2 linked regions of the Bombyx mori genome follow. The protein of the gene in region 1 binds, or shares a complex with, the protein of each later gene. Links are inferred from orthologs where the notes say so. Each region holds a gene or a part of one and is shown on either strand. Other genes may lie near its edges. The genes, in order: general transcription factor IIE subunit 2 and DNA-directed RNA polymerase II subunit Rpb4.

Region 1 (4,280 bases):
CGTTATTGGTGCCAAACCTGCGTTGCTTGCCAGCGAAGTAAGGTGACGCGGCATATAAAATCTCCACTTGGACACTTCTCCAGTCCTACGTCTCGACTGAAGCATGTCCATATTGACATCATAGGCCCTCTTCCATCTTGTTCTGACTTCCAATACTGCCTGACTGCTGTGGATCGCTACACTCGATGGCCCGAAGTTTGGCCTATGCACGGAATAACAGCAGAAGAAGTGGCGAGCACCTTTGTAGCCGGTTGGATTGCTCGATTCGGAGTACCTGCTGTCATCACTACCGACCAGGGACGACAGTTCGAGTCGGACCTTTTCAGACGCCTTACTAATTTATGTGGTACTAAACGTATACGCACTACTAGTTACCACCCTTGTGCCAATGGGCTCGTGGAGCGCATGCATAGACAATTAAAGGCCTCTCTGATGTGTTATGATGATTCGTGGTTGAATGCATTACCTTTGGTCTTATTAGGAATGCGTTCGGCTTTTAAAGAAGATCTACAAGCAACAGTAGCGGAATTGCTTTACGGAGAAACATTAACGCTTCCAGGGGAACTGTTAGTACCTCCCGGTCCTTCTGGCTTCGAGGACCCGACGGATTTTGTCGTAAAGTTAAGACAGCGTATGTCTAAATTGCGTCCCACTCCATGTTCCTCACACACTAAACCATCACCTTTCATATTTAAAAATCTTTCCACCGCCTCTCATGTAATGCTCAGGGAGGATTCGGTTAGACGTTCAATGCAACCACCTTACTCTGGTCCTCATAGAGTTATATCTAGAGCCGAGGACGGAAAAACGTGGTCGATTGATGTAAAAGGGAAACAGGTGACGGTCAGTGTCGACAGAATTAAGCCAGCTTTCGTCGAGCATTCTTTAGTAGATCTCGTTCCAGCACCAGCACCGCGGGTTTCTGTGCCTCAACCAGCGCAACCGGATGCTACTAATGTCCCTTCATGTCCACTCGTGCCTTCGGCACCTCTAACTGCTACTCCTACGCATACACCTCAATATACCACCCGATCAGGTCGCAGAGTCCACTTCTCCAAACCTTTCGACCTATGATATTTTTTTCTCTTTTTCTGCGGATTCTCCTTCTCCGTAGGGGGGTGGTGTGGCGTTTTATTATGCGTAAGCCGGAACGCACGAGATGTGGGAAAAAGAATATAGTCTGTGACAATACCTTTTTACCGCCAAAATATGAAAAACAAAAATAATTTATAATGTGATAATAACCAATTTAATGTAATTACTTTATGCCGCTACAACAATAAAATTTATATTGTTCCAACTGTGGTGTTAATTACATAAAACACAACCAGGCGAAATAAAGAAGGGACTCTATATGAACTCCCTCACGTCATTTGTCAAAGATGGTCATATGTCACATGTCAAATTGCTCAAACCGGATTTTAAAGAAACAGGATTTGGAAGTGGAAAATAGACTACATTACAACAGCAATTAAACAAAATACTAATACAATTGATACGTACTTTTAGTGATTGTGTTTAAAAGACGAAAATATGGACCCGGCGCTCTTACGGGAACGGGAAGCGTTTAAAAAGAAGGCACTTGCGACCCCGAGGTCTGTTACATTATTTTTAACTAAACTATTCGCTAGTCCACAACAATGATTGGAGACATACTGGCATCCATCGCACACTTTCTCTGTCACTCACGTAGCCCATACAATTACTATCAATTCACTTCCTTGTGGCAATATTCATTACTGAGTCATTATATAAAGTTATGAATGGAAATATGTGTTTCGAAATACTAAATGAGTAGAAATGTGAACAAATCACTTGTGCAGAGAAAAGTAGAAGATTTAAATGTTAATAAGATATAATATCTTTCCTAATTTAATAGCAGCCAATATTCTAGATAAATATGATCAAGGCACAGGCCCTATTTTTTTAAAGATTATATTGACTGGCATGCCCTAGGTAAATTAGAATACAATGGAAAATGTTTCATTTAATTTAAAGTAATGAATTTTTTCAAAGAATCTGATCAAGCTGACAGCCCACATTATGTTAAGTGATTACCTGAGCCCCTAGATATAATGTGAATGTCACCAATTGTTTTGAAACATGATTTTTATCTAAAATGCTACTTCATCTTATAATCCATTTATGAAAACGTGTTAGAAATGTTTTGCCGTGGAAAAAATTATACAGGTCTATGGTATTTGAATACCAGCATAGTCACACTTGATAAAAGTACACTTTACATGAGCTATAGTTCAACCCATCGAAAGGTTACTGTCAAATTAGAACGAAACAAAATTAATAAAGTATTATTCTTTTCTCTTCAGCATTGAAAAAAAGAAAAGGGATGACTCTGAATTCAAAGATGACAGCAAAAAGAAATCGAAATCATCCAGCTCAGTCAGCTCCGGACCAAAGCTTGATGCTAGTAAGTAAGTAAAGGCTAGGGCAACATAATTAATAATTTAAAATATTCTGTTATCAAAATAACTATTGAATTTACATAGTTACTGTGTTCCGCATAAACAAATATGTGCATCATTTACTAATGCTATTTTCATTAATAAACTAGAAATCACATTTAGTTTTATCTTTTGACTAGGTCAAATTACTATATCAGCAATATCTATTCATGACATCAGTACCATTGCTTCCCATAATTTATTATGCTTTATAGGTAATTTTAATCGCCAATTCTATTAAATAATACTAATAAACTTTTTATAGCAATATCAACTTTTGAATAAAAAAAATTAGAAAAAGCCTTTGGAAAAAAAATTATGAAAAATAAAAAACACAGGATTTATTTGGAATTCGAAAATTTATATTATGATAGCCTTGATACAGGCTATATGTAGCGAGCTTTTTATTGTTAAAAAAATAATTTATCATTTAGTGTATTTGCTAAAATCTTATAAAATATATAAAAAAGAATTGATCATATTTAGTGCTACAATGGATAAAATATTGAGATAGAGCATATAGATACCAGTTCTTTCTCTGTTTGACAACTCTCCCTTTTATTTAATTTAGTAGCTATTAAAGAGCTTTTGTGTTATCAGAAAACAGTTCTAGATTTTTTTTTATATCACTAAGTAACGAAACAAAAGGGAAAATTTAATACTAAATTGAATCTAAACCTTGAGGTGTCAATGATTATGGTCGAATTTAGATCAATAAGCAAACACTAATAATATTATTTTTTGTTATATTATAATTATTGGTTAAATCTGTGATTGATCATCATCCTTTTCAGTTACAAGACTATGACTGGCAGCTCGTCCTATCGCTTTGGTGTGCTAGCGCGTATTGTACGGCATATGAGAGCAAGGCATCAAGATGGAGATGACCATCCACTGTCTTTAGATGAGATTTTAGATGAGACAAATCAATTGGATGTCGGAAATAAAATAAAACAGGTATCTTTTAATAAGTATTGAAATAATAAATAAATTACCTCAATAATAATTACAACAACACACACATTTTCTTATAGCTGATGATAAATGCAATTTTTATTTTATTACTAAGTCTAATGTGCTCACGAACCACCTGGTGTTAAGCAGTTACTGGAGTATATAGACATGAGTTCTAAATCTCACTTTTATATTGCTTATGCTTCAGTAAAGAAATAGGCAGTGTGGTTATATCTACCCCTGCATGCTCACAAGACACCCTATTAACACTAACTGTATCTACATAATGTATAAAAATAATCATGAGTAATTACTTTAGGAAAATGATGGCATTAATTACAGTATTATTATACCCCAGCACACAAGTACCACAACACCCAAATTGATTAAAATGCTTTTTATAAATAATATTCTATTTTAATTGATTTCTCTTTTATAACCTGCTGTAAACATTTTCAAGTGGCTACAAACAGAAGCCCTACAGAGCAATCCTAAAATCGAATGCTCTCCGGATGGAAAGTTTAACTTCAAACCGGTTTATAAAATAAAAGATAAAAAATCTTTACTGAGGTACGTATAATATTTTCATTATTTACATAATTCAAATGTAGTAACTAGAAAACGATTTAAAGATCATCACCTGACAAAAATCATATAAATAAAAAGTACTTGTTCAATTTGCATTTCATTTATTGTAGGCAGCGGTTTGGCTCTGCCCCTGGCATTGCTGAAGTCCATGGGCGACGGTAACTACTCACCATCAGGTGGGCCGTATGCCCGTCTGCCCACAAAGGCAATAAAAAAAAAATTGTCTTACTCTTATACACTTTTATTTTAAGCGTGTTGTGTATGTTTGTTTATATG
Region 2 (4,333 bases), on another chromosome or scaffold:
CTGTTGTTAAGTGGTTACTGGAGCCCATAGACATCTACAGCGTAAATGCGCCACCCACCTCGAGATATAAGTTCTAATGCCTCAAGTATAATTAAAACAGGTTCCCCACCCTTCAAACTGAAATGCATTACTACTTCACGTCTAAAATAGGCAGGGTGGTGGTACCTACCCGTGCGGATTCACAAGAGGTCTTACCACCAGTATGTTTCAATAAATAATAATAATTTTCACCTGTCACAATTTTTTTTAGTTTGTACTCCTTTAAGAGTGATTCATATGTATTTTTAACACAAGCATGAATTCGGCCTACTGACCATGTCAAAATTACTGGCTGGTCAGTCGACTGCAATTTTGATAGTGAATCCAGTTGATTTTTTAGTATTTTTATACCTGAAATGAAACATTTAAATATGACATAGTTCAGTTTTGCATTAGAATTAGATTGATTAGAAAGTTAATGTATATTCCATTCCATTAAATTGTTTAAACTGTAACATTATTAAAAGTAGTCTCACATACTCCAATATTGTAGTTGATTGTTAGACTAACATACATCATTTTACTTACCCTCGATAATATTTTGAAAGCTATCTATAATTTCAACTAAGCCCTCAGTCAATGGCTTCAATAGGTGCGGATAATAATCATCATTATACTCGTGCAGTTTCACTGATGAGATCCCTTTACAAAACTTAGAACCTTTATCTTTTAGTTTGACCCAATCAATTAACAAACTATGAAACGAAGACACATGTGAAAATACAGTCTTTGATAAGCCTGGTTGGTCTTTATTTGGAGTTGTAATCTCTGAAATAATATCATTTATTAAATTACTTACTATTTCAATCGACATGGACAACAGAAATTTTGTTTGTTAAACTTTTTCTTCTTAATCGATGATGGGCAGACAAACTCACAGCCCACTTGATAATAAGTGATATTGATACCCAGCAACGTAACCATAATAGTTTATAAATCAAACTCTATGTAAATAATTACCTCTAGGTACAAAGTTGATAGCCAATTCTTTTATTGGAGTTTTGGACATTACGAACTTATTACTTAAATTTGAAATAAATATCTTTAGCCGAGTCTCTAAGTAGATAATAAAATTGAAGTGTTTTTGTTCTTCTTAATTTTTCAATATTGCAATTGGCTTACAGCCAGCGGTTACAAGACCTTCTAGTCCAGCTATAATATAATTTCTACGTAAAGAGCACGTAGAAATTCTAATCTGATAAATCAGAATTCATATGAAGCTAAATGAGATGAACTTAACTAATGTTAGTCTTTAAATTTGAGTGACATTATATGAAACTAGGATGTTTTATGATGCGTAAGCCGGATCGCACAAGAGGTGGGAAAAAGAAGATAGTCTGTGACACGGGACCTTTTTACCGCCGGGAGTCCGGGACTTTTTGGCGGGAACGCGAGGAGTGAAGTTGTGTGATTTGTTTTATTTTGTCGATTTAGTATTTCTTCAGGTTTAAATGTGTAATAACGGTGATTTATTAACTGTTTAATATCTGTGAAAGTTCACAAATGTGGGAAAATGCAACAAAGCCGCTGAACATAACTTCCCCGGAATCCTCCAAAAAGTCCACTGAAAAAAGGACATGGACCATACATTGCACGCCCCACTAAACGAACATCATCATCAGCTTATCTATTATTTATATTTATCGATTAAATATGTTAATATATTTTGCTAGTTTTTTGTAATACATTGTTTTCTTTAAGAAGATTTAATATGAATTATTTAAAATATAAATATATTTTACCCATGGCAGCTCCTTCAATATTATCAATGTAGCTTAATCATGCTTAAGTATTTCTTTTTATTTATGCTTTTGATTATCCCACCATTAAAATACCCTTAAATTTTATAATAAGTATGTAAAAATGAAATGTTTTTTTCTATAGATATTTTATTAATGTCCTTGAGGGCACGAGTAGCTGGGCCGAAAATGGCCCATGTCCTTTCATTAAATGACCACCATTTTACTGAGATTATATTTCATCCCATATCATCTCATCTCACTATATTTAATTTCATCTTACTTGATTATTGTCTCAAATTAATCATCTTCATTGCATTTCACTTCTTTCCATTATATAATTTTTCATAAAATTAAGAATATGAATTAAAATAAGACATGACCTAAAGGTCTTAGTTGAGCTGGACATAAAATACCCAAAAAAATTTTTTTTACCGCTGAATATTTAAAGGACGAAAAAAAAAAATGGTATAACTTAGAACTGTATAAGCCGCTGCAACAATAAAACTCCTATTGTTTCAAGTGTGGTGTTAATTACATAAAACACGATTTTCCCGCGAAATAAAGAAGGGACTTTATACGGACTCCCTCAATGGGATGAAATAAAATCGTCTCAGTAAAACAAGGATTATTAACTGAGAGTTCAGTGGACGTGACTAATGGATGCTCTGGATGAAATTTAATGAAACTAAATGGAATGAAACGTGTTAAGATGAAATAAATTAAAGATGTTCCAGTAAAATAGTGGGAATTTATTGACACTTAAGTATACTATCGAAGTAGTAGGTAGGTAGACTATCGAAGAACGTAAGATGTGCCGGGGCCACGGTAGTCAAAGTTGATCAGGTGATAATTGTGTAAGTGTGAAGGCTGGAATAGTTTCGACACAGGTAATTATTTTCATTTGAGAAGTAAGAATGGAAAATTTATCTAGTGGGTATTATTTTTCAATCATGCAACGTGGTGTTAAAATTTACATAAGCCAACTACTGTTCGCGATTTTGGAGCAATCTTTTTTCCGTGATAGTTCCCATTACAGAATCCTTTGCTAAATCGACTAATCTCCCTTTGCCTGTCCAAACTAGGGATGGTCTGTAACAGGTGAAATTAGAGACCTGTTCCACCTGTTCCTGTTCCAGCGAAAGAACAGTTCCAGTAGCCTGTTCCAATATAACAGCGTTTTGTTTTGCAACAGGTTTAATAATGTTTTAAATAGAATATGTCCACTTATAGGAACAGTTATAACATATGAAATGGTTTTAATACATTTTTTTAAATGAAAACAATCCTTCATGCTTTCTCAGGCTTAGGACTGACAACTGAATTTATTAATATTAATGATATGTGAAGCTAGTTTTGCCAAAATGTACTTAATACTTTAAATACTAACTAATATTGGCGAGGACTGCTCTCCCTCCGCGCCTCCGGTTTTTTATATACACTCTAGGGGTAGGGCAGACAAGACCAGGTGGAAAGTGATGTGCTCTGATTCGGTTTTCGATATTTTACGAATATTTTTGCAGTTTTATATCCAAAACACGAGCAATTTTACTGTTTTATATTTAAATCTTGTTTAAAAAGTTAATTTATTACAGAGACAGATTTTTTAGATGAGTGGACGAGCTCACAGCCCACCTGGTGTTAAGTGGTTACTGGAGCCCATAGACATCTACAACGTAAATGCGCCACCCATCTTGAGATATAAGTTCTAAGGTCTCAATTATAGTTACAACGGCTGCCCCACCCTTCAAACCGAAACGCATTACTGCTTCACGGCAGAAATAGGCAGGGTGGTGGTACCTACCCGTGCGGACTCACAAGAGGTCCTACCACCAGTAATTACGCAAATTATAATTTTGCGGGTTTCATTTTTATTACACGATGTTATTCCTTCACCGTGGAAATCAATCGTGAACATTTGTTGAGTACGTATTTCATTAGAAAAATTGGTACCCGCCTGCGGGATTCGAACACCGATGCATCGCTCAACACGAATGCACCGGACGTCTTATCCGTTAGGCCACGACGACTACGGGATTTTCCCGGGGATGAAATCCCGTCTTAACATTAGTACGGGTACCGCCTAAGGCGAGACTTTCGGCGCGCATCGCGGTACCGTAAGTTTCGTGTAGTCGGTGTGGTGGAGCTCGATGGGGTTTAGTCGGTAGTCGTTCTGCGGGGTAAGTGCTTCGCGCGCCTTTTTCAAGGCGTAGTCTCCTATGAGAAATTGGGGCAGGTGAAGGACCTCGGCCCTTCTCTTCTCCCCTTCTTCCTCTCAGGAGGCCAGGCCAGGAGGCGCCGGAGTCCGACATAACCCGGTCCGTTACCCCCCTCGACCGGGTAGCGTATTTCCATTTCCGTGTTCATTAGGAGGCAGTACTGCCTTGAAACACGCACGGGTTTGTCGCGCTAGCTTCCTTTACAAAATCGTGTTCAATTCAAGGCACGTGTCCTCAAATCGCGCACGGGTTTGCAACGCCAACTGCCCTTCTAAACACGTGTTCAATTCAGGGTACGCGTCCTCCAATCGCGCACGGGTTTGCAAGTATGCGCCT

What was found.
Region 2: general transcription factor IIE subunit 2 (region 1) and DNA-directed RNA polymerase II subunit Rpb4 share a complex: the UniProt entries of both Homo sapiens proteins name them as parts of the TBP-based Pol II pre-initiation complex. The link is inferred for Bombyx mori from reciprocal best matches to the Homo sapiens genes GTF2E2 and POLR2D.

The regions. Positions count from the first base shown.
Region 1 is NC_085118.1:15,266,858-15,271,137, forward strand, and holds the start of general transcription factor IIE subunit 2, read left to right. Parts: upstream 1-1,389; 5' UTR 1,390-1,533; coding exon 1,534-1,595; exon of another isoform or gene 1,596-1,599; intron 1,600-2,327; coding exon 2,328-2,432; intron 2,433-3,256; coding exon 3,257-3,419; intron 3,420-3,876; coding exon 3,877-3,986; intron 3,987-4,280. UniProt on the Homo sapiens protein: Recruits TFIIH to the initiation complex and stimulates the RNA polymerase II C-terminal domain kinase and DNA-dependent ATPase activities of TFIIH. Both TFIIH and TFIIE are required for promoter clearance by RNA polymerase.
Region 2 is NC_085114.1:9,607,359-9,611,691, forward strand, and holds the start of DNA-directed RNA polymerase II subunit Rpb4, read left to right. Parts: upstream 1-1,384; 5' UTR 1,385-1,494; exon of another isoform or gene 1,495-1,503; intron 1,504-2,301; 5' UTR 2,302-2,668; intron 2,669-4,333. Other genes in the region: uncharacterized protein LOC119628842, read right to left, coding at 232-390, 568-807, 1,000-1,048. UniProt on the Homo sapiens protein: Core component of RNA polymerase II (Pol II), a DNA-dependent RNA polymerase which synthesizes mRNA precursors and many functional non-coding RNAs using the four ribonucleoside triphosphates as substrates.